Linked DNA regions of Styela clava. The protein of the gene in region 2 interacts with the protein of the main gene of each other region in a pairwise test. Links are inferred from orthologs where the notes say so. Each region holds a gene or a part of one and is shown on either strand. Other genes may lie near its edges.

The links.
Region 1: the proteins of KH domain-containing RNA-binding protein qki.S-like (region 2) and ELAV-like protein 1 interact in a two-hybrid assay, tested with the Caenorhabditis elegans proteins (2 studies listed by BioGRID). The link is inferred for Styela clava from reciprocal best matches to the Caenorhabditis elegans genes asd-2 and exc-7.

The regions. Positions count from the first base shown.
Region 1 is NC_135251.1:29,565,614-29,577,516, reverse strand, and holds the start of ELAV-like protein 1, read right to left. Parts: upstream 5,699-11,903; 5' UTR 5,538-5,698; intron 3,171-5,537; 5' UTR 3,163-3,170; coding exon 2,976-3,162; intron 2,760-2,975; coding exon 2,470-2,759; intron 2,286-2,469; coding exon 2,132-2,285; intron 1,877-2,131; coding exon 1,633-1,876; intron 857-1,632; coding exon 374-856; intron 1-373.
Region 2 is NC_135250.1:10,360,151-10,372,399, reverse strand, and holds the start of KH domain-containing RNA-binding protein qki.S-like, read right to left. Parts: upstream 6,066-12,249; 5' UTR 5,929-6,065; coding exon 5,490-5,928; exon of another isoform or gene 3,780-5,489; intron 3,518-3,779; exon of another isoform or gene 3,441-3,517; coding exon of another isoform or gene 3,008-3,440; intron 1-3,007. Other genes in the region: uncharacterized protein LOC120348618, read right to left, coding at 10,836-10,996, 11,200-11,332, 11,952-12,031. UniProt on the Caenorhabditis elegans protein: RNA-binding protein that binds to the 5'-NACUAAY-N(1,20)-UAAY-3' consensus sequence in pre-mRNA introns to promote alternative splicing.

The DNA.
Region 1 (11,903 bases), on a different chromosome or scaffold from region 2:
CAAAAAATTACAAATTAAAATAACATGTGTTAAAAAATGAGAAAACTATAGAAAAATAACAACTATGATAAGGCATGCTAATTTATAAGAAAAGCAGAGAAATATGCACAAAACCCATGAAACACAATTGCACAAGCACCATGCTAACGAATAAAATCATGCAATATGAAAATAAGTCAATTAACACCAATCTGAAATTAACTATACTCTCACTCATTTTAAAGCTTCGTCTCCAGATTGCAGATATACAATCCAGTTGCATGCTTATAATAAACAAAAGTATGGCTTTACCTTTCATTATTAATAAGTATTTTGGAAGAAAAAAAGTAAAAAAGATAATTCCTTAATAACTGAAAAGTCTTGTTAAACTAACCATTGGCTGCCATTGGCAGTTGTCCCTGAAACCGCCGTTGTCGAAGTTGAGGGATCGGTTGGTGACGCAGTGGTAGCGGCAGTGATGGGAGCTGTCAATACACCAATTGAAGTGGAGGCTGTTTGCCGTGATACGGGAACAGCAGGTGTTAGTGCAGAAACCGGGAGGGTGGCTGGAGCAATTTCAGGTGCAGTGGCTAATGGGGCAGGTTGTATAGTGGGGAGTGACAAGCCTTGCAAAGTCAAGCCTGTGGAAGGCAGTGCAAGGTGGGTGGTTCCAGGTATAGTCTGTAATCCAGTGAAATTTTGTAAAGCATACTGTTCGGGCAAGGCTGTCTGTGCATAGGCTGGTTGTAATGTCGAGAAAGTTGTACCCGGTGGAAACGCTAGCTCTGCTGATGGCGCCAAAGTCAGAGGTTGTAAAGCTGCAGTTGAACCAGCTGCAATCACTGTGCCTGGCCTTACTTCTGGATACGGACTCGCTCTATTTTAACAAACATATCCAATATTGAAATAAATCCTACCAAATCATTACCAGTAGTGCATTGTAATATGTAAAAATTCAAACTGAAACTTTCAAAATGATATTTCCAAACAGATTAATAAATAGTGCCCAAAATGAATGTGCAGGAGAACTAGTGAACTGTGAATAAATAAGGTTGAAAACTAAAAAACAAATGAATATTGGGAACTTGCTCTTTGACTTTAACATTACTCACGACATATATGGAAGCACACAACACTTTACAAACAGATCATACACAATGGCACTACATGATGATTTACGCACTTTTTTACGATACCCGCATTACCTCTTAACCCCCAGGCCCACATTCACATTAGAGAGAAGATCGTTCACCCCAGATCTAAAATCACAAACACCATACGATCCCATATAAGTCAAAATCTTATAAACTACCATTTGAACAATACATCACGAGTGCAAAACCTAAAACTAGCATTGAGATTATATAAAATACTACAAATTGCAGTGGCAAAATTGATGTTATGGAAAAGGCAAAAATTTAAATGAAAAGAATTGTACATATCTAGATGAAGTGAGGCCATTGATAGAGCATGTCACTATGGCATGTTCCACAAATAGTTTAGAAAAGCAAAGACTAATCTGGTTAGAAGTATTGATTAATAGACACCACCCATTTTACTCTAGAATTATGATATTCATTTTACAAGCACAAACAAGGCTAATTAGTACGAAGTTTTTTCAACATCCGGAAATTTAATGAATAGGATATTTACCTGAAATTGCGAGCCTGGTGATATAGTGGACCAGGTGTTGTTGCAGCCAGTCGTCTCGTGGGAGAAGCAGCGGCTGCATACAGTGTTTGGAAAACCTGTTGATTTTTCTGTGAAGGGTTGTTTGCGAATTTCACAGTGATTGGGTCTTTTGCTCCATGGGGAACAGTCCCATTTAGAGCATTGATCGCTATTTCTGCTTCAGGACGTTTATCGAATCGTACAAAGCCCACGCCTCGAGACATACCTGCATTAAACAAAAGCCTATCAATAATGCATGAGAAGCGTAAAAGCAGAGGCATGCACTTATAGTATTGAAAACATTTTAAATCAAAATTTCTATACTAGATAGATGAAAGTCGATTTTTGAAAATGTAAATGCACAGAAAAAAATTACATAAAAAAGAACGCATCAATATTCGACGAATAGAATACTTTTTTTTTCATGTTGGTATTTGACCTCTTTGTTTATTTAAAACTTACGCGTATCAATATGACTAACCTGTGCAAAAATCTACCAAAATTCTTGATGTTATGATTCTACCATATGGACTGAATATACGCTGTAGATCTTCTTGAGTCATGGACTTTGGTAAACCACTAACATATAGATTAGCATCTTTGATCAATGGAGTACTAGGACGAGCAAATGAAACCTAAATATAGGACATATTCAAGCATATTATAAATATGATCTCTACATTATTCCATGCTATATAAAGCACCAGTGAAACAGAAAAGAAATTCAAGATTCTTGTATATTTATATATGGCATATATATATATATATCCATCACATTATTGATAGCAAATTACACAGCAACAAGTATAAAATGTTTACCTTGATAGTTTTTTGCTGCATTCTTAGTCCATTCAAAGATGTTATAGCTTTGTCAGCATCAGCTGCTTTAACAAAATTTACAAAGCCGTATCCTAAACTTGATCCTGTCAGTTTATCTCGAATTAGTTTGCATGATTCCAATTCTCCAATCGAAGAAAACAAATTACGCAAATCTTCCTGGGTCATTGTTTGGGGCAGATAGTTTATGATAAGATTAGTTTTGGACTCGTCATCAGTTGGTGTAGAACTCAAGCTTCCGCCGACATTGACCATATTAGAACTTGACATAACTGAAAACAAATATAAACAATCATGTTCATTCATACAATAAACTTTTGAGATTAAATTTAACAAATGAATATTCTGATGAGTTATGCACATATATATGAAGCAAATATGGATTTAAGCAAAGCCTTATGCTTTAATTAAATTACAAAATTTATGAAATAAGTCACCAGCGCACAGTTCTAAAACTGGCATTTTAAACTGGCATTTGTATTAAATACCTGATGAGTAAGAAGCTGGCGTTCCCGGACTAGAATTTGAGATGACAGCAGGAGAAGAGCATTGATGGGGCTGTTGTTGAGATTGGGAAAAAACATGGGCTGCAACCTGATGAGTGGCATGCTGAGCATTCATGGTTAACGAATCAACAAGAGGATTCGGTCCATTAATTAAAGTTATGTTGTTCATGTTGAAATCTGTAATGATCAATTCATTAGGGGTAAAAAGATATATTACCAAAAAAATTCATTGTCAGAACCAAACGCTCACAAATGATGTTAATGTAAAACATCAAATAAAAAGACTGACTTGGGACAGCCTTGTATATAGCCTACATAAGCCATATTCATAAACACTGAGTGATGAAATATTTAAGCATTATTAGATATGAAAAATGACCCCAGGGTTGGCCTATTATTTCACCAAAAAAAAACTGCAATCTGTTCGTTATACAAATTAATATTGATAATTCTGAATGAAAAAATTAGAAAGCTGTACCAACTTTGTAATTTCAAGACTATCTTTATAAAAATTTAAATTAGAACATTAACACTCATTTAATCCCCAAGTACAAATATATTTTTAAAAAAAATCTATATTTAATATATACAATTGTCAACAGCTACCTAAACTTTGAAGCCTGATTCTTCTGTTAGCATAATAAATCATAAAGAATTTTCCTAATGGTGACTAGCACACTAAAACAAGTTTTGCAATATTTATCAACATTATTAAACTGATTGAGATGAGAATCATACTGAAGGGATCTTGAAGGGAAATTTGACTTGTTCACAGATTGAATTAAACAGACGCAACCTTGGTAAATCTAGGCATTTGTGCTAATGCAAATAATGACCTAATACAGCTTGTATAAGCTAAAATTATAAGTGCTCACAGTTATAAGTATAATTTTGTACTGTCTGTATCCTAATAAAAGACATGCCAATAAATCAAACATTTCAGTATATTTGAGAATTATAGCAGAGATTCAGTAAATTAGTAAGTATGGTAAGTAAATTCATTATATCAAAAAAATTTCTCATGAATAAACACTGAATACTGTATTGCACCATTAATTTTAAACTAATACAGCCCGTCAGAAAAATGACCGGGTATCTTAGTAACTGGTATAAATACAGCAAGCAATATTTGCCAAATATCGATAATATAAAAAGAGTTCAGATACCTAGCATATGGTTCTATTACAAATTTACGACACTCATCATTATTCCTGATGGAACAGTTAACAGCGGATATATGGATTTAATTCCCAGAATAGCACAACTACATATTGTATCCCGATCTATCATATTTTAGAAAGCCCCAATGCTGCAATGATCACATTTACATTACATGTTAGGATCTCATTTAGAAAAACTCCAAAGTGAATTCATGTTGATTTGAGTCTTCGATGAGAAAATAGCAAAAGTTGACCAACATAACCTCAATTAAAATGTGATAACGCATCCAACCACCTTTGCTATTATGTATAGCGTCTAGTTCGTCTAGTGTACATACAGTGTGCGCTAGAATACACTGTCTTGCAATGCAAGTAATGATCAATAAGCCAAATTAAGAAAAAGTAGAAACGTAACTATTTTTCAAACCAACTTTGATTACAACTCTCTGTCAAGCAATCGGGAGTTTCTCGCCGGAGCTCTGACGCTGTCTTTTCGCTCTTTCCCTTATCATTGACAGTTATGTATTTACCTAATACTGTAATATAGGCTATACCTATGAAGCAGACTGTCCATGAGCCTTGGGTCAAGCGCAAACTTATCTGATAAGTTTAGAAAAGTCTATGACTTCAAATTCAGCCAAGAAACTAACTTACTGCAGTACTGGAGTACGGTACTGCTTTAAATCTCAAGTTCAGTAAATTGAGGATCTGGTTCAATTCTTACCAATCTGGACTACAGGACTATAGAACTATATAAAGTCTGAAAGTAAGACGATAATACATTACCAGATTACTGCAAATAATAATACCAAATGAAGAACTTGGCATAAACCCATAATCCTGTAATCAGTCAACAACCCCAATTTCTGAATTTAAATCATTGCAGCCTTACTGCATTATCGTAGCAGATTAGGAAAGTAGCATTATATCAGTACCGGTATATTATTAACACAACACTGCAGTAACAAATTGATGGGATTAATTCAATCTCTCAAACAGCCATAATCAACATGACAAGGCTAGGCACAACTGCACAATCCAGCAATCAGACAATGGAGTGGTTATGCGGAGGACGGATTACTGGTAAAATGTGGGAATAATCACTTCCGATCGGAAGTGACTCGGGGTCGGTATTCGTATTAGGCCTATAACATGATAACTGCACGAGCTGACCATTGAATGAGTAAAACATACGACAGTACCATACTGCCACAGTAAATATGTAAACTCACAAATGTCTGAATGTCAAAATCCATGCCGCACAGCTGTACGATAAGGAGATGTGATGATACTGGTACGGTACCGGTACAAGCGCAGGAAACTCTTTGGTTTCAGACTGCAAAAAAAATGCTAAATTGAAGTTTAAAAGATAAATTAAACTCACCAAATATTTAAACACAAAAAGATGCATCCAGTCCGTACGCGCGATCGTCATCCACTGCGAACAAAATTCAAATAACACCGACAAACTTGAAACAAGAAGGCTCCGAAAAAACAAACTGCCCCAGAAACGCCCACAAAACTAGTCCAGCGACGGAATGGCAGGCATGCATCGTTATTTTATGCAGGAAATGGAACTGCTTCCAGTGTATATGCACAAATATATCATGCCTTCAATTGATATTATTTATTTCAATGATATCATGAAATTTACTGCTTATGTGACTCAACAATTATAATGAAATCGATATTGCGTAAAACATGTGATGATATATTTTATTGGTAAGTTTAAAAATACTGCGGATGAATATTTATTCAAAATGCATGCGTGCATAATGATATGCATGAAAGATCATAGTTAAGATCTCGAAGTATCCATTCACTAGAAAAGGTTTTCTCCACAAATTTGTTCTTCAAAATAAATTATGCAACTAACTTAATTTAAAATATCAAAAAGGAATGTGATCATTTTTCATTACAAAAATCCAATTGAACTAGCTGTTGTATTTACGATTGCATCAGTAATACATTCCAGTTATTTGTTTCCGTCATGCAAGAACCAAGATAGAAAATGATACACATGAAATAAATAAAAACAGAAAACGACCCTTCCTGAAATCACCCTTTCTAACCTTCCATACTATTTGCATGTGATTCAGAAAACTCCAAGAATTTGATTCATGTAGATCCCAGTCTATGCTAAGACAATATCACCACGCGAACGATGTATCCGCAATAATTAAAATCAAAAACTGGTGGAAAAAATGTTTATTCCTTATCATTAAAACAAGCTAACGTATTGGAAGTAATTTAACATGAAAGAGATATGGTAGGAATAATTCATATATATATAATAGGATTTCACATCTATGGATGTTTCCCCGAGTATCGTTTTCCTTGTTGGACACGTGTACGTGCGTAGCATTACATAAATACCTGTTTTATGAAAAACTCAAAACCGCCAAAAATGACTTACGCAACTCGGTTATTAGCGTGACGATATAGGTTGATAAATACTTTAATAAACCCCGAATACAAAATAGGTTGAAAATACTTTGGGTTGTTATGACAAACCTTGGGGTTTTAAGTTAGTGCGTGCGCCTCATTTTTATTCTTATAATAAATTGTAGCTCAGTTTTACGAACAGGTTGAATGTAGGAAATAAGTGACACAACAATGACTATTTCCACGCTACATATTGGTTTATAAGGTTACATCTAGGGTTAGTTCGGATACCTATAATTTTCACTATCCGGATAACGGATATATCCGGGTATTGCGTATTTTAAATATCCGATTAACTGGATAGTTACTGCTGATTTTAGAGAACCGATTTCGCAGGTTTTTTCGCGGTGAATTGACCAAGGACCCACCACACAATTCTGTTGTAAATACTCACATATGTATTATTTTTCTTGAATAAGAATGATTGTGCATTTTAATATTGCATGTGTCAATAAATAATAATTTAAGCTCAGTAATCGTACCGATGTACAGCGGAATAATAAAATGAAACATTTTTTGGAAATATTGTGTCCTAATTGTTTTTCCCCCGACTGCTAAGTTATTTTCTACTATTCAAATAATATGTAAATAATATTTATATTATTTCTACTTTATTGTTAATTTTTTTAAAAGTTTCTTTTTGTGTCCAGAGCCTCTTTTCTTTAAATTTTGACTCGTACTAAATTTTAGTGTCGCAGACTCACAATGATCGTTTCTGATCATCCGCACCTTCCTATCAATTGCAATGAAATTTAAAATTGTCATGTATAGTATTTTGTGTTCTATAATATTTTGTGATTTCTTGCACGACGAAATAAACTTTGTTAATATATACCATAAGAGCATACATATAAATGAAATCATGAACACAAAAAATCGTGCATTTCGAACATTTTATTTCGGGGAGAGAATTATTCAAAAAAAATAGAATATAGGGGGGACAAATTCCGTGAAGTGTATAGGAAAATATAAGTAATTTGAACAAAATTTTTAATAACAAAGCAAATTGATGAATATGAAAAAACCGAAGTGGTCAGAAATTTCTTCTAATTTGAAAACTTCACTTATTTAACATGTCACTGTAAATATTCTCACGTTTGTACTAATTAGGCCACAACTTCAAATCTATTTCCATTCGAATACCTTTTAAACTAAATTAACAGAGCCAAAACAATGCTGCGCCAGTTTTTGAACAACTTTACTTACCACCCTAAATGAGTAAACGAAAAACATGACACGATACAGAGTCTGTCAAATTAAACTTTGCTGAAATATTATAGACCATTTTCAAACAAATTTGTTTGTGAAAGTTCCATAAAAACCATAAATGTAATAACAGCCTTTTCCTCCTCTTTTTGAAATTTTCGAAAACGTCACTAATAAAGGCGGTCAAATTTTACAGGCTAATTTTGTTATCATCGCCGATCGTTTTCTTCCGCGTCGCGTGATTATTTGGGGAATTAACATCGGCATTATGGCAGTTTTAATTTGAAAAGAAGTTACATCCCGTGAAAAGTTACCCTTGTTGTAAATTCATTAAATACAATTATTACGAAATTTTGGCGATTCAACAGCGCCTAAAATAGAGTCTTGTTTTATCTATCACTGGCTCATAAAACAAGAGTCGTGGTATTTTCGTTAGCATTCACTTCCTTATTTTCAGTCAAAAATGTGTGTTTCAGATCTACTCTCTTAACGATAGATAGATACGACGATAGATAACATACTGCGGCCATTTCAGTTCCGGGCGAAATAAAACAATTATCGGCGTTATATACCGACGAGACTGAACCCGACTTTTCTCTCGAAAATGTTGATATATAACTATAAGCAGTTTATATTTACGCTATAAGCTAATTTATATCTGCATTTATTGTACTAAATAAATTATACTCATTGGAATTGCAATAACAGCTCAAATTTGATGAATTTTCAAGATCGCTAAAATAAGAAATTGGATTTGTTCGTGCAGCTTACCATTTATTTTCATATCTAGAGTAGAAATGCTTTTACTTTAAGGTAAGTCGGGCTCTTCTATAACGCAAATATGCAATAATCACATTTTTCTGCGTGTTTTGTGATGTAATACTTTAGTCAAATTCACTCCAGCATTACACGGATGACTAAAATATAGGCCGAGTAGTGTGGATATAAGTGATTATTATATTCTCTGAGAGATGTCAGTGGCCGGTATGTTAGTCGTTGGTGGCCACTCAACAAAAAATATAAAAATCACTAATGCGCATATGCATTATTAATACTGCTCTAGTATCCGGTTAACCGTTACAATAATATCCGGATATCAGATAGCAAAATACCTCTTGGTTAACCGGTTATCCGGTTAACCGCTATCCGGATAATCCAACCCTAGTTACATCACAATGTTCATTTTCTTTAACCCTTCACAAAATTTCCTTCCCTATTGTGAAGTTCTAATTGCGCTTCTAATTTCAACCGTGGAATGGGGTTAAAAGGGAGCTTGCACAATAGCGTTCGGGGTTTGGCAGACCTGCAATAGTTAAGAACCACTGCTCTCGGTTAAATGCATACTTTATCACGTAAAAATCGTGTTGTTTTGCAATTATCTTTTACGTCATATCATAAATAGTTTACACCAGTATGTTTTACGTCAAGTATCCATGCTTTAGATTTAGAAAAGATCGAACTGATAGCGAAGCGGAGTGCATTACTTGCGGCTACAGTTGCTCGTTGACAAGACAAGAATGCATTATTGCATTGTCGTCACATCGTCTATTTTCGCTTCTAAGTTTAATCCTAGAGAATTTAGTAGATATATAATTTATATATCTCAGGCAGAGGTGGAATAATATGGTTCTACCAAACGATGTGTCCTCGTTTCAGGATTTGGAAATATGGTCACCCTACACAACCGGCGCTGCATGAAACGGGTTCAAGGCAATTTTTTGCGGTATGTTATTAAATTCACTCAACATCAGACGCGATCGACGACTCGAGACGTGTTGGCCATTCCTGAAATATCTATAACATGGGATAGAGAAGTAGAAGAAAAGACAGCTTTATGATATTTCTAACCCTGACCTATCCCCGGTTGCCAATCCATGGGTACGGGGAATCGTAAACCAAATATGTATTTGTTTCAGGTGCGTTGATTTGATGGTGGTAAAAACCGTAATAGAACAGGGCTTTGTTTGCAAGAAAGAAGTTAATACGTGTCCGCAGTTAGTCGTCGTGAATCATAGAATGAAAATGTTTTTGAAGGGTTCATTGTGGATAAGTGCATGAGACGACGAGAAGCCTTGTCATATCGGTTGTGCAAATAACCATAACTAGGCCCCTAGACAAATTCAGCACTCGAATCCACGATTTCCATTCCACTATGTAATTCTTCGTTCCTCTCCACTTTTTCTCTTTGATAAGCGACGTTTGCTTTGTTTAGCTGACTCTCTGGTGTTCTGTCAGTCACACACAAAATAAAATTTTATAACGGCTGATTTAATCTATTTTTATATGTTTTATGGCAGAAACACTGTAAAGGTATACGAGACAGTGTCTTGATATTTACTGGACATTTAAACTCTTCAATGATGACAGCTTGTGCCTCTACGGCAAATTCTCACTGTGTTGTGTTGCCACCTCGGCAAATACATAGCGAATGACATATATATATATATATATTAATGGCTGGCAATAAGGAATTATTGACTGAATCTAGTAACCACGTAACGACATTTTAATAATAAACTCTCAGATGAGATTTCTGTAAGTTGGGAATATTTGATTACACAAATACTGTGAAATATATCACGAATCGTCGACGTCATCAGAAATGAGCAATATGGGAGTAGATATAACTTATCAAGAAAAAATATGAGAAATTCAGCCACCATTGTCCCAACAAGTGAAAATGTATGAAAAAATTAAACGTTTTTTAAAGCCGATCTGTAATCCTTGGAGTTGTACTTGGAATTACACAGCTCGCAAAAATGTATAATAGGATGAAGTTGTTTAATGAATTGACCGTGGTTAACGATTTAGATTGGAACTAGCACTGTCACCCCAAACTGATGTCAGATAGATATCAGCGACGTATAGTCATATATATAGGGCCGGGCCATAATATACCAAGGTCAAGCGAATAAAACAAATGTACATTTAATACAATCCTTCCATACTCAAGGTAGGCTATAACAAAGAATAGATAATGATTCAGATACCATGGCGACAGTCCGAGCATCCGAACGCGCAATGCAATGGTGGCCACGATTTCCGATAATATCGGAATCGCAGTCTCAGGTTCGACTGGCAAAGGTTAAATTCTTTTGATACTGACAGTCAGAGATAGTTCCACTCTATCCCACAAAGGTAAGTAATATAATAATAAATGAATTGGTTATAAGTTAGCTCCATCTCAAAACCCACCTTGTATACAATCATTTGTTTTGACTTTTGAGGAGTATTTATGTCGATATAAAAGAGGCAGTCAGCAACTTTCATTTCTAAAACGGGCGGCAGAAATATTTAAACTTGTTAAAAACTCGAATGAGCAAACAACGTATGGTGCAATTTCAGTACTTTAAATTAAGCGACATTTTCAGCGGAAATTTGTCGGCATTCTAAAATGATAGTAAGTTCTTTATGGATACATTTAGAAACCTTAAGTATTCAAGACTTATGAGACAATTAGACAGTTACGCATGGATAAACATACATCTGCAATCAACTCCAACTCCAAATAAAATTCAATGAGAAAATAATATTTAGTGATCCAATAATTTTGCCACAAGTTTTTGTTGAGTGATATGACACGAATAAAGGCACAGCAACTCGAAAACAAAATCGAAATGTTTTTGGAATTCTTAAATCTAATAATTTCAGCAAAAATCGAATTCTTTTTCGAAAATACTTCAGCTGACAAACTTGTTTCAATCATATTTATTAGCGTTGTATTGATTTCATGTCGCCTGAATTAAAAAGGTATTCAAAACATTATTAAGAAGATATCTTTTGTTGGTGCTTATGTCTGTACGTGGAAATTGGATTAAAGCGGCTTAACATAAGTGATATATTTCGAAATCGGTAGAGGTGATATTGATATTCTACAAACTAATAATGTCAATAATGTCAATGAGTCAATAATGGCGCATGGCTGTGAGGTTCTAATTTTTTTTTTTTTTGGAATGTTCAAATTTTCAATAATACCCCGAAGATTTGAATGTACAGAACATCTGTCCCTAAGTTAGTAATAATTTTGACTCCGACAAAATCTCGACTTGAATTCATTTGAGCGTGATTCTTTATCAGTCAAAAAGTTTGGCTGCAACTT
Region 2 (12,249 bases):
TAATTTTGTTTACTTAACTTTCGTTAATACTCAATTATCGGTTACTGCAAAATCGGAATATAAATCTTTCGTAATTCAATTTTAGTGAACGGTAATTATACATAGCGCCATGCTCATAACACCCTTTAGGTGGAATTAATGTAGCGATATTGATATTACTAAAAATTTGTTATCGTAAAAGTGAAATGAACGAATTCCTAATTTACGTGTGTAAAACATAGTGCCAAGTGGTAAAAATTAACAAATACCCCTGATTAAGGGTTATGAATATAGATATCGGTGGAATCTTGTAGTTAAAAGAACCAACAAATCTCCGAAACTTCTACCACGACAGCCATTTGTCAGGCAAAAAGATGATTCGATATGTTTTTACCATAGCTTTAAATTCGGAACTCCATTATCAATATTAAAGTAGATATATCTTTGAAAATGACTCCAATCACGAAATTAAATGAATATATTTGTGTTATGGCGTAGAAAAACTCTTAAATCAAGTAAAAGTTTTAATGTTCTAAATTTAAAAAAACATGGCAGGATTTTTATCATACACGTGGACATGATAATACGCATTGTGACAAACAAAATATAGCTTGTTTTAATTGTGTAGGGTTATGTGAAACCTTTAAAAATTTAGATGCCAAAATGCAATATCACTGGTGTCAAATTTCATGTGCGTGATTTTTTGCACCAAAACTATCAAATTTCACCTGCTCTAAAGAAAATAATGTTATCGACAAACAACCGCAAAACGCGCATTTCGCAAAAAAAAAACGAACATCGGTTACAAGAAACCATCAAATTTCCCACAAAAATGCAACAAAATGTAATCCTATATATTGTGGTACATCAGAGAGTAAACACATCAAATCATGCACACAAAGCAATATTCATTGTTTCGCTCTTTCGGAAATATTATTCAAGTGTGATAATCAGAAAATTGGCGCAAATTTGATTACTGGACAATTGAATGATCCAGCGGAGCGCAATATACCATTATATAGATTTGATTTCTGTCGGATCTCGTTCGTTGGAATACTTCAGAATAAATCGGTCCGGAATTGAAGTGCACTGTTTTGGTAACAGTTAATTAATTACATAAACTGAGTGGCGCCAAATAAACCACTTCAGTATGTCCGTTGCGATAGGGTTTATTTATGCCTTTCATGGTATACAATTTTAGAGCTATAGTATTTATCTCAACCCTGTGGAAATTCAATTTTTGACAAATATCGCGCGGTCTTTTTCTCATATTATACTTGCGTGATTTTCACAAATATAATTTATTTTTCCATTGCAAGGTAGAATGTCCGATTGATATTTGGTCAAAACATGTTGCTATTAAATTTTAAAAATCTATTATGAAGTGTGATTCCGTGGTCATTCAATGGTAACCAATCTTAATCTGACCCACTTGAAACACACTCTATATTTTGTAAGCGCTGGATCACAAAAACCAAAGCATTTTAGTCAATCGCGTCCAATCCTGTCAACATGAAACAACTTTGAGATCATAATAATAGTTGCTATTTGCTTGAAATATTAATTGGTCAACGAAATGTTCACTAAAGGCTTATAATTAATTTTTGTTTTCCCCATTTCATGGTTTCACGAGAGATCCCCCATCCTCCCATTTCAGTTTCACCTCTAGAATTATTCTTACTTTGATTAAGCTGTTTGGTTCACAAAATATTTGGTCAGCTAAAATAGTCAAAGTCATAAAAAAATAAACATACAGCCAGATTTACCATAATTTAAAACTTTTTTATGTGCTAATATCAAACAAAACAGCATTGATTGCATTGTGAGTCATATGTTTTGTACAAGACTGAACGCTTCATTTATCACTGTAAAGTGTACACAAATTGTCCACTCATATTACAAAACCATTACAAAGATACAATATAAGTCTCAACTCCGGCGGTTTGAGCTCTGTATTATTTCCTGTGTAAATTGCTAGAAGACCTTAGGAAACGACTACAGAATGCTTGAACAGTTCAATTGGTCTAGAAGTATTATAGTTATTAAGATAATACCAACGAAGGGATGTAACATTTATTCTGGTAACTGCAACAGAATATTTTATTGAATATATGCTCAACAACTAATATGATGTTTCGATCTTAATCAGTCTTACAATTTACAATCTTACTTTATTTACTTAATATACCATACAATCACATGTCAACATTTAATTATACAAATTGAAAAATTCCCATCAGTTTGAGTAATGTATATTGAAAACAATGTTTAAATACTCATACATACACAGCATTATGTCAATTTGGCTTTGAAATTTTCTTTGCATTGTGGTTGACTTTGTATTGACGCATTCAATATTTAAAAATGGCTCAATAAATATGTTAAAAGGTTTGCTTCCCACTACCATTGTTTGCTATGTCAATGCAGTGTGTTAGGTTTCAATACACAAAACAAAGAGAGTTTTGTTTGAACTGACAATATTAATGTAAACTGTAGTATTACAATTTTCTGTTACACAATATAATATGTGTAATTTATGTATAAATTGTGGCTATAGCAATATTGAAATACAATAACTTATTATTTTTCACTTTGTTTTTGTTGTAAATACTCTAACAGAATGTTTTAATAAACATCACAGTGAAACATTCATTGTGTAATCCTTCAAACTATAATACAAATTCTTAACATTATTCTTTGAATTCTTATTATCCTATTCTATTCAATCAATCAAGTAAGTCTTTCACACATTCGATCGCAATTGTTTTGTGTAATAAATCTCCAGTCATATAAAACCTTCAAAAGTTAAATTTTTAAATTATTCATGATAAATGTGGCAACAATGGTGTATATTACACCTGAGTTTTATTGCATTTCATTCTACAAACCCAGATAATCAATATCCTATGAAGAGAATTTTTAAGACGGAAGAAGTATTTATAATAAAACTCAGGACAATCTTCTTGACAATCTCTCAACATATAATTCTTCTATATGAAATAACCCAATCTTGTAGCAATGTACTCACCTTCATCAAGTAACCTTTCAACATGTAAAAAAATACTTGGATAACTTTGACATTGTTTCTTATCTTTTAATAGTTGTTGAAGATAGTTGCACCTTTCCTTTGTTTTGCTGTCAGAATCGTGTGGCAGTGATTGCATAAGTGCTTGTGTTGCACCTAACAATGTGTTTGCGCAAAAACCATTTGACCTTGATGTGCTACTTTGTAGCTGGCTTATTTGACTATTAGTTGAATTAAAAGTTTGAATCGAGGGAGCCATAGAAATTCTCGACAATGGCTGAGATACTGTGCTTGCAAATCCATTTAATGGAACCATGTTTAATGCCGCGGATTGTGCAGGCAACGTTTGCGAAGTCATTGAATTTGTCAAATATGCAGTCTGATTTTCAAATTTAACACCAAAGTCCGTCAGGGTTTGTGCACCAGCAAGATTCATCAGGCATTTGAGTTGAGCAAATTTTTGATAAAAAATACTAAAACTATTAACACTGTTATTGGTTCAAGAATAAATATATTAATTTCAATAACAAAGAGGATATCAAAGAGTTTCAATATATGTCACGAAGTTAATCTCTTTATTTTGACAGTCCTGGTGATTTATGGATACTGTGGGACAAAGTCACTAACAAGCTAAATAGGCCCATGAAAAATATAGCTACAAAGGATGCTCCAAATAAACCTTGACACAAATGGGATAAAAAAAATCATTTTTATATCACTTTTTATTTTCTCGTCATGTAATAACATCTACTAATAGTAGAACTCTTTTTTTTAGACCACTTTGAGCTTTCAAAATTCAACTTTTCACTCAAATAAATTAGATTGGATTCTACCACCTATCAGAAACTGTCTGTGTTTAAAAAAAACTGAATATAATCTGAATTTCTATCTCTCTCTCTCCAATTCCTAATTACCCCTACTTATACAGAAATCTATTGTAAACAATCAAATATAAAAACAGATTAGGGATTGCATTGTCATGAAATGTCATGGGAATTAGTAAGCCAATAAGTATTGAACTAATTGGCCCCTAAGGTGGAAATTACCATATTTTTATACAAGAAGCTGAATGGAATCTATTGCCTTAATAAATTTCAAAATTGAATCACTGTCCAATCTAATTTTTATAATTCATTTCATCTAACCTCAAAATTGACTTAATGCTGAGATAAATTGTATATAAATCTGTCTGTATGTCTACACATTCCCATAACATCGGATTTGGATATGTGATAATATTTATAGTCACATACATATAAAAGCTGCATAACTGTTTTCTTATACTGCTATAAGAATTATATTATGGCATTATGTTATGTTTTTTCTGAGCACCTAAGAATTTTGATCATATATCTGTCTATAGTCAGATAGTAGAATTTAGATGATTGGTTCAAATCAACTTTTAATGTCTCATGGCTTCCCAATCCTTGTACTATTAATTCATTCTTCTGAATAAATCATCTTATTTTTGGGTTTAAATTATACTCGTAATTATAAATCTAAATAATTGTATACACTGCAACCTGCTCAGGCACTGAGTTACCGTATGCTAAGTACTGTAGTACACACAGCTCAGGGCAATTTCTGAGTTTGATCAGTCAGTCCACTTGAGTTACTTTATCTCTGTTCAAGAGTTCTTCAATTACAACTGTTTTTATCATTACTAACATAGTATTAAGTAACTTAATACCGCATACTGGCATACGAAAGATGTTATATGACTCTTGTCTTAAGGCTATCAACACCTGAGGCTAGGTTGGTTTGTGCGACTTTCTCCTGCGTCAGAACAACCAAGTTATCTTGTATTTGCATTCCTGTGGTAGCTATAACATGATAGAGCAAGCAAATACCACTTGAAAAAACTACACGCTGCAGAGTACGAGAGCGATAAATAGGGCAGCCACAAAGATCTCTACCGCATTGAAAACCAAAGAAATGAAAAGACAGACGGGTCACAGCAGAATTCGGCATCGAGAGAGCGAACATTGAAGTATTGTTTACATTAGGTTTACGCTCGACTGATTCGTCTCCAAGTCTTTGTTTCGTCATAATTTATTCCAAGAATATCATTTATTAAATAGCATGAAATATTTCCTACCACGGTATTAACATTCAGTAGTTTAAATCTTTTTAATCACAGCGACGTGCATTAAAACAGATGGCAAATTCATCTAATCTCATCTACGTTCCTTAGATTTAAAATAATCAAACACGCAGACGATTTACTACCTAAATGAATAGCAATGCATGCTCGTGTTATCCAAATACGGAGCGCATAATTAGCTAATGCATAAATGGTAAATGTGTCCCGTTATTTCTTGAAAATTAACAGTTCTGTCACACAGTTTTCGACTACCAATCTATGGTTTAAAAGAGAAAAATGTCATATATATTCGAGTCTATTCTATTTTACCCAAATAGTCGAATATGGTGATATTGCATCATTTTGCTGGTGTAATTAATAACCTTCAAAAAATTGTCTTACCTTCGTCTAGTATTCTGTCAATGTGAACAAACATTCCGCCAAAATTCTGAAGCTGTTTCTTATCTTGCAGTAGCTGTTTGAGATAAAGACATTTGTCTCTGGTCTTTCGTTCTTCGTCATTAGATGAATATGAGGCCGTGTTTGTTCCAGGGGAGCATATTGGATTGTCATTCGAACTTTGAGTTGATGACGAACTGTCCATTGAGCTAATTGTGCTATCACCTGGTCCTTGCTTGGGTAACATAGCGGGAATAGAAACTGGTGGAGGTAGTATAGACCCTGGTTTTCCGAGGACAGGGTTGTTATGGAGAAATTGGATTGGAGGTTGCTGCGGTGGCAAAGTCTTGACCGACTCGGTAAACCCTTGTCCTGGGAGCTGCTGTGGGAGTGGGTTAAAAGTCCTCACATGTGGAAAATTGATGCCGGCTGTGAGGGGCATAGGGGGATAGTGGTTTATAGCCTCAATCTTGTCAGTTGGGTGGATCAATACGTAAGAAAATGGTGGTTATGTAGTGATTTCGTCTTTTGTTAGACTCTGTACACGTATTAAACGCAAGCTATATGGTAGTAAATGAGCTGTAAAAATGAATATTAAAAAAATAGGTCAACGCTTTATTGGAAAAAATTCACCCGATAGGCCGGAAAAAGTAGATAATTGCACCTGGCTACTTTTTGTCCTCTGCTGACTTCTCGTGGATTGAGTTTCATCTTGCATCAAAATGTATACCTTCATTTGGATCATATTAACTAACATGAGCCAACCGTAACGACGTACAAGCCCTATGTGACAGATATGTTTCTGTCATTTTAAAGCTACGGGTTTTACCACGAACTTATACTGGAACGCATTTTTTCTATCATTTCGCAAGAATGGTAAACCAAAGAATGCTATTAGAATGAAGTTTTCTCATGATTACCCAACTATGAAGCTTCGGAATCGAATACCTTGATAGTGTTTACGAAAAAAAATTTCCGCTTGGTCTGGTATGAAGTAAAACGCGTTGAAATTTATTTTGAGACTGATGATATGTGTTGGGAATGGTATTTTAACGAAAAAATATCGTGATTGCAAAGAATAAGTATCAAAACACAAAGTATTCACTGCTCCATTTTACCGAAAACTTTTAATAGCGTGCTCTGCCATGATATTTCACCTGAATAGGTAACTCTATGAATATGAAATATTTACAATCAAATGCATATTCAAGATGGATTTTTAGAATATAGGTGAAATTTCGTTATTGATCCTTTGTTCATTAATCAAATTTTTGATCTGAGGATAACCCGACCTTAGCTATCTGTGACCTTTTATTCAATTTGGCCAACGCGAGTTTGTATATTACGTATCTACATTTTACCAACAGTTGAATTGTGAATTAATTTTTTCAATTTGAATACGAAAAACTAACAAAAGTGCATTTTGTATCAGACAGCATCATGTCCCTAAAACTATTCGGAATTCTCTAAGCAAATGTGCGTTTTGAGCGACTGATGACAAATCACCATCTTCCCGCCCCAATAAATAGTTAGTTCATTTCATAAGAATGATCTATTGTTATACGTGATTCTACCTTTCGAACCGTTATGCACGACGTCCTGCGACACAAATTTAGGTAATCATCCCATTGACGACGGATGAAATTGCAGGCTTCGTTTTGAATATTTTCCAGATTGTTTTGTCATATGTATAATCTTTGTTTCCTGACACAACAATATATTGTAACTTAAGAATATATATATTTCGGAAGGGAACGATAGATGCTCAGATGAGATGAGGGTGTTGCACAGATTATATGGTACCACTTTAATCATTTTTAAACAATTCACTAACAGATTACTATCAAAAAGTTGGTATTTATCAAAAGTTCTATTAAAATAAATCGATTCTTAAAAATATAATATGAAATTGATTCAAACCAAATCTCTGTTCCTTAAGTTAATTTTGATTCCTTTTCTATTGCACGTGCACATCATTAATACCTCTTTATTACTTTAGCACTCGTTTATAGATTTGACATTTAGTAATTTTTAAAGGGTCAACCACGGGGGGATAGATAAATTATGCTCGAAATAGGCGACTTATATCCGGTTCATGTCAGGTTTGCGTCAAATTAACCGGTCACTGATTTGTAACCAAGATGGCATAAACTACGATAAATTCCATAATATTAGCATCGTCTTTTGTATACACCCCGAAGGCAAGAAACGACGATTCTCGGCGATAAACTTTGTTGATGCTATCTGTCATAATGCTCAAACAACGGGCCTCGTTATGAATCTTAATATTGAGTCGTCGATATTAAATTATGTCATCCAAGTTTTCAAAAAAATGCACAAAGATTTATAGTCTATAGATCGTGGGGCTTTTCATAAGATAAAATATAATTTATACCTAATTCAGACACCTAATACGCTATAGCAGTATTCGATATCGTGTTTCTGTTATGATGCAATTTGGCATCTCCATATCTTCTTACATTACCACCAATTCGAAAAGATTAGTTAATATGCGGCGCCTTTCAATATCCTAATGCGAATATTCCTGATTCTGATCTTCTAATCTCGGTAACTTATTTCTCGAATTTCAATGAACAAACAGATCCATTTTATGATATCACAGTCTACTTCTTAGACGCCGACTCAACTTATTGCTAAAGCAAAATTCAACAATCTATAGAAAATGTCATGTCTAAACAATCTATGAGGTATAAACAGTTCTCGTTGCAACTTTTGTTATAGAAAGTGTGCCCCTTTTTACAAAAACTAGGATTTTTATTGCGGTGTGTTCTGATTCCTAAATGCAAAATTTGTCTAACCATCTATAACAAGACTGCCCAAGATTGAAATATTAGGGCGCACACCGGGGAACAAGATGCAAAAAATAACACGGTAGTTGACAGTAATAATTTAAACAAAAACACTTAGACGAAGCCCATTTATTGCTTCACTAATTTTGTACAAGTAACGAAAGACGACCACTTTGCGCTCTATCTACTTTTTCCCTTTTATCGAAATTCTTTCAAGCCGAACGCAGGTATTTTTGTACGGCGCGAAGATTGCAATCGGTATGCGTGAAATCTCTTAAAAATAGAAAGAAAGTAAGGGACCCGTGTATTTTATTGCGGAATTTCATTGTTGGATGCTGTCTGTTTTGTTGTTCGCTGATAGGTTTAAAACGAATGGACGGCACCTTTCTTAGATTAAAATTCCCTCTTTGCAACTAAGCGTGATAAGTAAAATAAAATAACTTGCGAATAGAACTAAAAACGTAGAGAAAATTAGGTCTTTGTTAATCGAATGATCTCTCCACCTATAGACAATCTGACCATTGTTTGCTGCAAAATTAAATTACGTTGCTTCTGCAACAACAAAATCTTGCTGTATGGGTATTTGAAGATGGCTATGCAAGAAACGTAGCATAGTTTTTATCCTCAATCTTAAATAATATTATTATAGATATTATATCTTAAAAAGTTGGAAAAAGGACAATTCAATGACTATTTCTCGCCTTCGCGTATTTTTTTCAAATTTTCTATCACTTTCCAAATAGTAGAAAATTGTAATGCTTCACTAATGCGCTTTCAGAAAAAAATATATACATTGTTCGTCATCAATATGATGTTCATCTACGACACGGGTCGACAACTATTAGCATTGAAAGAGCCATTTGGCATCTTTTCCGTAAAACCCTAACCCACTCTGAGCCGCAACATCTACTCTAATATCAGTGGCTTCTAAAACCCCCGGAAAATTGCTTATGATGAAATATTTTAGTTCACACTAAGAGGAAGGCAAATAAATTACGAATGATGCAATAATTCAGTTTACGAGAAAATGGAAAAAACTTGGAAAATGAAAAAAAGTTTGTTTTGACAGATTCGAATCACCTTAATGCGATCTATTTTTACCGCTCTCGACTTATACCGGCTGTGATATGTAATTAGTGAGTTGTAATCGACTTTATGCCCCCGATTTTCATTGAATCCCAACTGCTTCTAACAAAAATTTGCCGTAGCCACTTTGATTCACGGGAGCCAGAGATCCGAATGCGGCTCCGGAGCAGGGTTGCCATATTGGCTTTTTAACGCGTGCAACAATAGCAAGCTTTACTACTCAACTTTTCGATTTTTGCTTAAACATAACCAATCAAAAATAAGTCAACAATGATGATGCCTTCAAACATGTGATAATCGCCAACACTTCAAAACAATCTCTTCAAAATAAGCATAACAAATATATTTTTAATAGTAAAATATATTTCAAATCTGTCAAATCATGATACTTTTGTACTTGTTAAAATTGTTGACTTTTTCTGTCTTGATCTGTCTTTTTTCATCACTTGGATCTGACAATCCTACTCAGAAGCCGCAGGTTGCCGATCGCTGATCTACGCCGTATAGATTCTACAGCATCAAGGAAGATTTCCTAGAAGAATGTGTAAAGATCGCAACCAAAAGTATTTATTTTTAGATTAGATGGTCAGCAGGGCATTGATTCTTGATACTGCATATTCATATTTCCATCCAAACGTTGTCCAGTTTATTTCAAGATATATGATTTTATTGTAATATAAAAATGGTAATCAGAAATGATAATCTGAGTGATACAACTGACATGCTAACGCTATGAAAGTGTGCTGATGTTGAATTCTCAATTATTGGACACGAAGTGGACATAACGATCGTTTCAATATTATGTTGTTGTTGTTCTTTGACACGTTTTTAAAAAGTCGCTTTTCTCTTCGAATACTGGACCAATTGCTTTGAAATTTTCAGTGGTTGAAGATAAAATTTTTCTCCAGAAGGCTATTACTTTTTTTTTCGCTATGACGTCATCAAAATTATTGCCATTGGGTGGCGCTACGTGTCCATATATTGGAGCATAGCTCTCTTGTTGTATATATGTTCATTGCTTCGTAGTACAACAAAATTGTATTGAATTCCAACTAAACTATCAAATTACTTTCCCACTCCGTTCAAAATCTAACCGCCCACTATAAAACTTCAAGACGTCATTTGTCATAGATAAACTGTATATTTGTGTGAGTAAACTGTAATGTAATAAACACTGCACAAGCCAACCAGAATTAAATAGTAATTAAATTAAGTTCCCGGTGTGAATACACTCTCCTGGAGACTTTTCAGTCAAACAACTTCAACCTCGTGACTGTTCATTGTTTGCATATGATACATAGAAGTGGTGACTTTGGCAATAAAATTCGATGCTTTTTAACAATATACTTTGAAAACTATATAGTTTACTATTTCACTTGAGTGGAAGATAGTAATAGTAGCAACACCTCTTCAAATAACAGTGCATTGACGTATGGCGCTAAATGAGCGTCCTTTATATGTCATCAACTTCTTCGGCGGCGAAGTACGTCATTTTTTCCATAACCTCTGTTAATTCAGACATTTTGTCAACGAATAACGTGTCCTCTTCTGCTGAAATAACAACGTTTTCGAGTTCCTGTAAAGCGATTTGAAATTCTTCTGTAACGTCATCGCCTGAAATTTATAAAAGAAAATGGAATGGAATGCTCACGACTATTGCTGTGCTCATTGTGTTGTTGTCCATATTATAATTGTTACTTAATCTTAGAAGTTTTTGATTTTATCGTATCTATATGAAAGCAAAATGCATGTGTTTTAGATAAATTTCGCGCTTGTTGTGATGTACGACCAAAGTTAACTTTAATTGAAAAATTTACCTCCCGATGAGCTCAGTATTGTGCGCAGTGGAGATTTTTCTGATGCTGTATGCTTCGTAGGTGTGGCATTTGCAGATACGTCGCCAATTGGAGGAGGAGGAGCAACAAATACAGGGTTACCGTTCATGTCACGCTACAAAAGTAAAAAATGATAATAATTTAAACAACCGCAAATGACTAATTTACTGTAAATACTGCAAATAAAATTGAACTGAAGAAAATATAATTAGGGAATCGCAAATAAAACGTCACCCGTGATTTACTACTGAGTCATCTCGAACATAAACTCTGATTTGAACAATTTGGTTCCAAGTGAATACGACACTAAAATACAACTTCAAGCTGAAAGCTTGGTAAAGCCAATGTTCCAAAAAATAGATTTCCTCTCAAATCCCAACAACCCACGTTTTACAGCTTAGTTCGCGGTTCTATACAGCCACCAAGCGATTGTCGTACACAGATGTCCAACTAATAACCTATATATATATCTAAATATTTGACATAAAAGCAATGCAGTGTTGTAGGTAATACCACGATGGGATATCAGCACACATTAAAAAATATCTGTGTTCGTGAAATGACGTTATTCCTTCGAATGAAATCAGCAAGGAAATTTATTCGTTATATTCAACGAGTAGGCTATTGAGCACTAGATTTGCTTCACGGGGTCATCATTTTATTGGCCATCTAGATTAGAACATAATTCCAAAGAAATTTTTACATCCAAAGTAAAATTATAGACTTGTAATTACCTGTATTATAGGAGTGTAATGTGCAAGCATATTTGACACGGCTTGTAATGTCTTGAGGTTTATATGAAGTCCCGATAAACCTGTGTTAAATTCAAATATTTCAAACAATGTACATATATATAATATATATCATAGATTATCGCATATTATGTGAATTAAAACAAAATAATATATAGATGGAATATAATAATGGGTCAATATTTTAAGCATTCTCAACTTTCTCGTATTGAATGGAGTAAGTATTCGATCAAAGATGGGATGTTAAGATTTCCCAAACGGCTAACACCAAGTAAATTTG